Caenorhabditis elegans: one gene and its partner. The protein of the gene in region 1 purifies or fractionates together with the protein of each later gene. This does not show direct contact. Each region holds a gene or a part of one and is shown in the gene's direction. Other genes may lie near its edges.

What was found. Proteins that work in one complex are often made in the same cells at the same time.
Region 2: the proteins of ksr-2 (region 1) and ndk-1 purify together in Caenorhabditis elegans (affinity purification with western blotting, with the first as the bait; one study listed by BioGRID). This does not show direct contact.

The regions. Positions count from the first base shown.
Region 1 is NC_003279.8:12,056,772-12,061,533, reverse strand, and holds the start of ksr-2 (Kinase suppressor of Ras B), read left to right. Parts: upstream 1-1,735; 5' UTR 1,736-1,751; coding exon 1,752-1,777; intron 1,778-1,826; coding exon 1,827-1,898; intron 1,899-4,762. Other genes in the region: hrpr-1 (RRM domain-containing protein), read left to right, coding at 1-35, 582-696. UniProt on the Caenorhabditis elegans protein: Probable inactive protein kinase which positively regulates Ras-mediated signaling probably acting at the level of let-60/ras or/and lin-45/raf. In the germline, regulates meiotic progression during oogenesis and mpk-1 (isoform b) phosphorylation.
Region 2 is NC_003279.8:10,552,614-10,555,868, reverse strand, and holds ndk-1 (Nucleoside diphosphate kinase), read left to right. Parts: upstream 1-1,955; 5' UTR 1,956-2,074; coding exon 2,075-2,127; intron 2,128-2,208; coding exon 2,209-2,302; intron 2,303-2,360; coding exon 2,361-2,675; 3' UTR 2,676-2,750; downstream 2,751-3,255. Other genes in the region: cert-1 (Ceramide transfer protein), read right to left, coding at 1-79, 126-440, 809-928, 979-1,144, 1,219-1,232; F25H2.4 (MPN domain-containing protein), read right to left, coding at 2,944-3,112, 3,163-3,255.

The DNA.
Region 1 (4,762 bases):
GGATTCCGTGGTGGACCACCTGGACGCGGTGGAATGTAAGTTTTGAAGTGTGGTGGAGTGCTGCTGCGCCAGTGGACGGAATTTGTCTAAAAAATTACAAAAAAATTAATTTTGAACTGCCCTTGTTCGATAGAGCGCGCTTGCATTTTTTGTAATTTTTAAAAAATTCGTTTCTCACATTTTCCAATGATTTTTCTGTAAATTTTCACTGGAAATTTGAAGAAAATTTCAAGAAAAATGCAAATTTTTCACTAGAGAGCATCTGTATGGGTACGTAACCATAAAGTTGCCTTATTGTGAAAAATTTGCATTAATCTTGCAAACGTTTCTTCAAATTTCCAATAAAAATACACTGAAAATATAAAAAATCAGTAGAAAATGAGAAAAATAAACTAAAAATGCATTAAAATAAATAAAAAATACAAGCGCGCTCTATTGAACAAGGGTAGTTCAAAATTAATTTTTTGTGTTTTTCAAATCAATTTCCCCCCCCCCCCCCCCCCCCCCCACTGGCGCAGAATTCTCCATATATCTTTATAAAATTGTGCAAGAATAATCCTAATAAATGTCTGAGGTTACAGGGCAAACAGACGCGGTCGAGGAAAGCGCCCGGGAGACGGACGAGGGGGACCAGCATCGAAACGAGACAACGGAAAGCCTGATTTCTCGGCTGACGTCAACATGAGCACTTTCTAAATTGCACCCCCGGCAGAAACTCACTTTTTCTTTGTTTTTTAAATTATTTTTCACTCCCCCCATTTTTTAAAAAATTTTAAACTTTTTCAACCAAAAATTTTGCATTTTGCATTATTTTTCTAAATTTTTTTGTTTCGTTTTTCGAATGGTTTTGATCTCAAAAATCGTTCGACTTTAGAAAGTGGTGCGAAAAATCGAAATTCTATAATTTATATACATATTACCCTCATTTCTTTTTCGAATTTTTTAAAAAATTTTTCCACTCCCTCTCTCTCCTCAACCCAACCCGTTAATCTCTCACGACCTCAAAAAGTGACAAAAACCATTCTGAAAAGTTGTATTTTCTCATTAATTGTAATAGAGATTTTGATATTGAGCTTTGCAAAAAATGGTTTTTAACGTATCTCTCTCTCTCTCTGTTTCTCTATTCCCTTCACCCTCTCCCTCTCTCTCCATTTGAAACCGTTTTATTCCGTTTTTTTTTTCTGTGTCTCGAAATTTTCACCTTTTGCTGTGAAAATTGGACGCACACACAATTTTAAAATAAAATAAAAAAAAATTTCGTTCAAAATTTTTACTCTTTCTTTCGGAAGTTTGCCCAAATTTGATTTCTCTGTTTCAGATCTTTTTTTTCGCAGTTTTCTACAAAAAGCTCGGAGAATTTTGCAATGCGGCAGGGAAAAAAGGGCGGAGCGTCGTTTGCAAGCCTGCGGCGTGGTTTTTTTTGGGATTTTCAGGATTTGGAAAATATAAAATATTTTTGGATTTTTACAAAAAATTAATACTTTTATCCAGTTTTTGTCAGAAAAAAAAAATTAATGTAAAATTTTCGAGCCTCAACCAAAAAATAAATGCCTTTTTCACTCAAAATCTTCAATTTTTTTACAAAAAAATGCAGAAAAAAGTGAATTTTTTCTAAAATAATCGCTGAAAAATCAAAAAAAAACCGCGCCGCAAGTTTGCAAACGTCGCCACGCCCCCGCAACACCTAAATTTCACGATTTTCAAATTTAATTTTTAAATATATCTTTTTTTGCAGGGAGAACCTTCGTCAGATGAGCGATGAAAAGAAGAAAAAGCGGTAGGCCGAGCAGGCACACATTTTCAGGCAATTTAACACCGATTTTCAGCGGATTTTTCAGATACAGCGTGCTGACGACGTCATCGTTCTCATCGTGGCGGAGATCTTCAACGAGTGGAAGGTTAGGCAGAGTTTTTTTTTTGGCTGAAAATTCGAGAGTTTTCGATGTGAAAATGGCCTTTTCCCCAAAAAAATTGTCAATTTTCGCGTTTTCGCCGCGTTTTTTGGCACATTTCCCGTGGAAAATGTGCTTTTTTCGCGAAAAAAAATTCGAAAATTCCGCGATTTTTGAATAAAACAATTGCGAAAATGAAGAAAACTCAATTTTTAACCTGAAAAGCTTGCAAAACTTGGTTTTTGCTCTAAAAATCGCAAATTTCATCCGAAAAACCCCCCAAAAAAAGCAATTATCGCCTTTTCCTCGTATAGCTGTCGTCGTTCCACTTCATCAGTTCTTCTCTCCAATTTTTCCCCGGCTTTTCCGCATTTTTTTCCCAACGAGTTTTACGTTTTTTACTGCTGCTCAGCGGCCGATTTAATTTTAATTTATTACGATTTTCAGTCGTGAAAATAATATGCACAACAGGCAAAAAGATTTATGGATTTTCGAGCGAGTTTTCCTCGAGGAGTACACAAAAGCTGCGTAAATCTACACAGAGGTTTTCCGGCCGTCGAGTTGGCTTTTTCTCATATTTTGGAGAATTTCGTTGTTCCGTAGTTTTCAGCCAGCCGGGGTTCTGGCCTTCCTCATTGAATTTTTCGCGCTCCATTGACAATCCTGTCTGCCGGACAACGCGTGGGAAAGTGTCGTGTACTCCTCACTGACAAATACATTTAGTTTTACAACTAGAATCGAGCCGCAACGCGCCGTAAATCTACCGAGCCAACATGGCCTAGTTCGGCCAAAACTCTTCCATTTCAATTTATGAGGGAAGCATAGAAATCTGTGAGATCGGTTTAATTTTCTAATTTTCAAGAATAAAGAATCTCACGAGATTTGTCTTTTCTGGAAAATGCAATCACAGTTCTGCTTTCCCGCTAGTTTTCTGGAAAATGTCCATTTTCAAGCTTCTCGAGGTTAATTTACGACTTTGTGCTGGCTCACATGAGCTCCTAGAGCCATTTTGGAATATTCAATGGCTCCGTTCGCCTTGGAAGACGAAAAAGAAAAAGGAAAAAATAGAGTGTTCGATTAAATTTTGCCTCCTTCGCCGTTCACATCTACACTCGGGGTCTCAATTTTTCCTCGCTCATTTCATCAAATGGTTGAAGGCTCCCGGAGCCCACCCATTTTGAGCCTAGCTAGCTGAGCACGCCTTTTTTGCTGAAAACGACGAGAGCAGCAGACACACGCACACATTTTTGTGCTCTAAGGCTCAGTCAGCTACACAGCACAACAAGCATAGGTTCGCTTCATTCAAGAACATCAAATTGCATGTGCTTAAATGTGCTGCTCATGCTATTTGCTCATTAGTACCCTTTGGAGACGATTGTGGTACGCGATTGTGAATCGAAGGCGGGGAAGATATGAAAAGTAGGTTTTAACTTGGCTTAGAGCTCTTAGAAGTTGTCCTGAAAGTCCTCTGGTGGCCGTGACGAAGAGAAAATTCGGCCACACTCAGCAAATTGAGACGGTCCAGAGCCGCTCCGTTTGACGGATTCACCCGATTTCGCTTTGATCTTCGAAAAATGCGGGAGGTGAGACGCAGACCTCTCAACTGTTTTTGCATGGTTAAGAGTGTGCTGACGTCACATTTGTTCTGCGAAAAAATTCCCGCATTTTTGTAGATCAAGCTGTATTGGGATAGCCTGACACCATGTACGGATTTTGGCAAACCTACCGTAATCCTTACGGGACATGAATCTTCGGCATCTCGTTTGAAATAGACAATTTTCAACGCGAAAATGGATTTGCTGGAGATTTTTTTCATTAATTCCAAAACTACAGTAGCTTTCCAAAAATTTGTGGAATTCGCATAAAACTGTATGGAAAATGAATAAAATCCAACAGATTTCTCACCGAAATCTTTCAATGTCGATTTACGCAGCTCGTGTACTTCTCGAGGAGTACACGAGAGAACTGCGTGAATCGACACATGGCCGTGGCAGAGGTTTCACAGTGTGAAAGTGCCAGGTTGTCCCATTACGGTTTGATCTACAAATGCGGGAATTTTTTGCCCAAAAAAGTGTGACGTCAGCACGTTCTTAACCATGCTAAATTAGTTGAGAAGTCTGCTTCTAAATTCCCGCATTTTTTGTAGATCAACGTAGATCAAGCCGAAATGAGACACTCTGGCACCACCAACTCGTCGAATTTTTTATTTTGTTTCTCTTATAAATATTTGTGCTCGGCTTCTTCACCTGCTCTGCTCACCCTCTCGGAGCTCAGTTTTGTTGCTCTTGGATACGGAAAACCGCCGGGAATCAAGTGTTGTAGTACTTGAAGTTTTTCGATTATTTTCAGTCATAGATGTCCCGCTGGGGAGGAACACACAAAAATAGCGTCATTAGTATTCCGAATCTGGTAGATTTCACAGCAGGGGGCACGTACATATTTAGCATTATGGGGACAATTGGATGAGTTTCAGTAAAGATTTTGTGGTGGTTTCTGAAAGCAAATTGCCGATTTGCCGGAAATTTTTAATTACGGCAAATTGCCGATTTGCCGGAAATTTACAATTACGGCAGTTTTCCAGTTTGCCGATTTGCCGGAATTTCTCAATTACGGCATCTTGCCGGTTTGCCGGAAATTTTCAATTACGGCAATTTGCCGATTTGCCGGAAATTTTCAGTTACTGCAATTTTCCGGTTTGCCGATTTGCCCGAAATTTTCAGTTACGGCGAATTGCCGATTTGCCGGAAATTTGCAGTTACGGCAGTTCGTCGGTTTGCCAATTAGCCGGAAATTGTCAACTCCGGCAATTTGCCGGTTTTTCGATTTGCCGGAAATTCTCAATTACGGCAACTTGCCGGTTTGCCGATTTG
Region 2 (3,255 bases), 1.5 Mb from region 1:
CACTTCTAGTTGCACATAAAGGTTCCCGAAATGGTGGTGGAGTGGATGAAGAAGAAGATGGAATGTTTGGTATTACCACCTGAAAATTATTTGATTTAATTCTCAAACTATCAGCAAATTGTTACTTTAGAAGTCTTGACGAGATCCACGATATGATTAATATTAACAATCAATGCTAAATGTGTTGCTTTTACTGATAGAATCGTGGCTTGTGGGACAATACAACTGGCTCCACCTTGTTCCAGAAGTCTTTCGATTGATGTCATCTGATCCTTGCACATAGTTCGGTATGCTTCGAGTTCGGAGAGTTTCGTGGCAAAAAGCTTCGTTGATTCATTATCATCAGATTTTTGATTATTAGTAGCAAGAACTGAGGAAACCGATGGATTACGGGAATGACTTTTAGTGCTAGTCGAGCTATAATCCGAATCGTTTTGTACCTGAAAATTATTGATTTTCCCATTGAAGTTTTAACTTGATTTCTCTGATTCTAAAAGTAGAATTTCGAAGTGAACGATTTTTTATATTTTATAGCCTCGTACTATTCCCGAACTTTCAATTGACTTTTGTGTGCCACCGTCCGTACTATATATTTACACGGGATGACAAAATCAGGTAAAGATCAACAATGGTGTTTTTGATGTAAAAAGGAACATAAGAGAGGTGTTTGAACTATGATCGGAGCATATTTAAACGAAGAATATACAACTTTTTATCTCGTAATTACTCCGAGAGAATCGCTGGGGAAGTAATTTTTTGAAAAAATTATGTTTTAAAAATACCAAATTCAGATTCAGAAAACACTCACTGTTTCCCGGACAACTGATCGCATCCATAGAAGTTTTGACTGTGAATTCTCTGCTTTCAAATACCAGACAACGTTTTCGCCCATAGATATTGAGAATTCGTTTTCATCAAATTCGTGGGCCTAAATTTTTAAATATACAAGAACTTTCTGAGAAATCAATAAAAGCTCACAGCTATTATTGCACTTTTGAGAAATATGCTTCCTCTGCATCCGTGGGATTTTTCGGCTTTTGACAGATAATAAACAAGATTTCCCTCTGTGATTTCAAAGTATCGATCTTGCCATCCATTCACGTAGTTTGTCCATTTTTTCATCACCCCATTCGTGGGAAGGACACTGGAATGAGATAAATTATATTAGAATTTATCATTGAAACAATTTCTGTAATTTAAAATATCTACAAAACTCACACTTCGCTCTCCATCGGCTTCGTTCGCGAATCAGCAGGTGATAAATGATAAGACAGAGGCTCTCTTTCCGAGAGACTTTCCCCGTTTCGATACAGTTTTGCTCTCACTTTGTTCTGCAAACAAAGCTCACGGTTTGGTAGGCAAACAGTTAAATGGTAGTCGATGGCAGAAAAGAAAGAGTATAGACAACCTTACATTTAGTCGATTCTAAACATAGGGCGTCGAAGGTGGCGAATATGGGAGAACCGGTTTCCTTGTACTGCAAATAGTTTTGTGAAGTAGTGTCTGAAACGAAAAAAGAAATTTGCGGAGCCAGGTCATCAAGCATGAAATAAAGTTCGACGCGTAACGAGGCACAATAGTTTAATGGGAATATGCAGAGCGTTTGTGCTTGTTGCATGGAGACACGAAAAGCAGACATAAGTCATAGAACTTGAGACAAAGTGTAATAAACTATTTATGTCACACGCGTTTTTTCAGATATCAAATGCAGCGATTCACTTCTCAATGTGTTTTGACGTTACAGGTGACGTTAAATTCCGATTTTTGTTCAATAATCCCGATGAAATTTCATATGAAGAAAACCAGTTTGACAGAACATAATTCTCGCAAAAGGTTCAATTGGTGTCCAAAAAAATTGGTCGAAAACAGTGGTCAGTAAAGGCGCTCCATTGCAATTCTGGCACAAAGCCAAGAATGCTGCGAGGTCGGGTCTCGCCACGTGCTGAAGTACGGTTACACTCGTTTCATTTGTGTCGGAGTTGATTGAATGGGCGCCGGCGGGTTATTCTTTTCACTTGCGTTCGTCGCTGTCGCCTGTGCTGTTGACACCTGTTCCAAGTTGGATTGTCCGAAAATGAGCAACACTGAGAGAACCTTCATCGCCATCAAGCCTGATGGAGTCCACCGGTTAGTTATCTTTGAAGAAACTTATTCTAGCATCCTCAATGGATTTTAGGATTTTCAAAATCCTAATTTTTTAAATTTCAGTGGTCTCGTCGGAAAGATCATCGCTCGTTTTGAAGAGCGCGGATACAAGCTTGTTGCTCTCAAGCAGATGACCGCCTCCAAGGCCCATCTTGAGGTACGTTTTCACGAAATTACAAAATTTTAGGCCCAACCAGTTAAATTATTATTTTTAGGTTCACTACCAAGACCTCAAGGACAAACCATTCTTCCCATCCCTCATCGAGTACATGAGCTCTGGACCAGTCGTCGCCATGGTCTGGCAAGGACTTGACGTCGTCAAGCAAGGACGTTCCATGCTCGGAGCTACCAACCCACTCGCTTCCGCCCCAGGAACCATCCGCGGAGACTTCTGCATCCAAACCGGACGCAATATCTGCCACGGATCCGATGCCGTTGACTCTGCCAACCGCGAGATTGCTCACTGGTTCAAGCAGGAGGAGATCAACGACTACGCCAGCCCATTCATCAACTCATGGGTCTACGAATAAACTGATTGCTTATGTCTCCCGGTGTTTTCACCGTTTTCGTATCTCTGCTGAATGTTGATAAAGTATTGCTTCCCACCTAAAACATCGTTTTTGTTGACATCTATTCCTGCGCATTCTCTAATGCGTTTTCATGGCAACCAATCCTACACGACTCAGCTGTCATCAAATCTTTTATTCAACCCGAAAACGGAAGGGGATTAAACATATAATATATTCAGATGACTGCAATAAGTTATGAAAACACGAATTAGGATAATAATTTCAGCTTTTAAGCTCTGAATTCCGCCACTTGCACGAGTTTGTTGCTCAGATTTGTGTTATAGAAGTCGAACTCGGGATTGTCCAAATGGTTTTCGAAATCGGAAAGCTCTCGGTACAACTTCTTCTGAATAACAGCTTGAAGGCCACGCAAGAAGTTGGAACCTTGGAAAATCGTTCTGAAATGAATATACTAAATGAATATATAACATCAAATGTTTTTTCCTACTTCGTTTCTTTCCAACTATCTCCATCTTTTTCATATGCCACGAGGCGGTCTTGTTCACAATCTGACACCAGTCTTTCGTTCATCACTTGTACG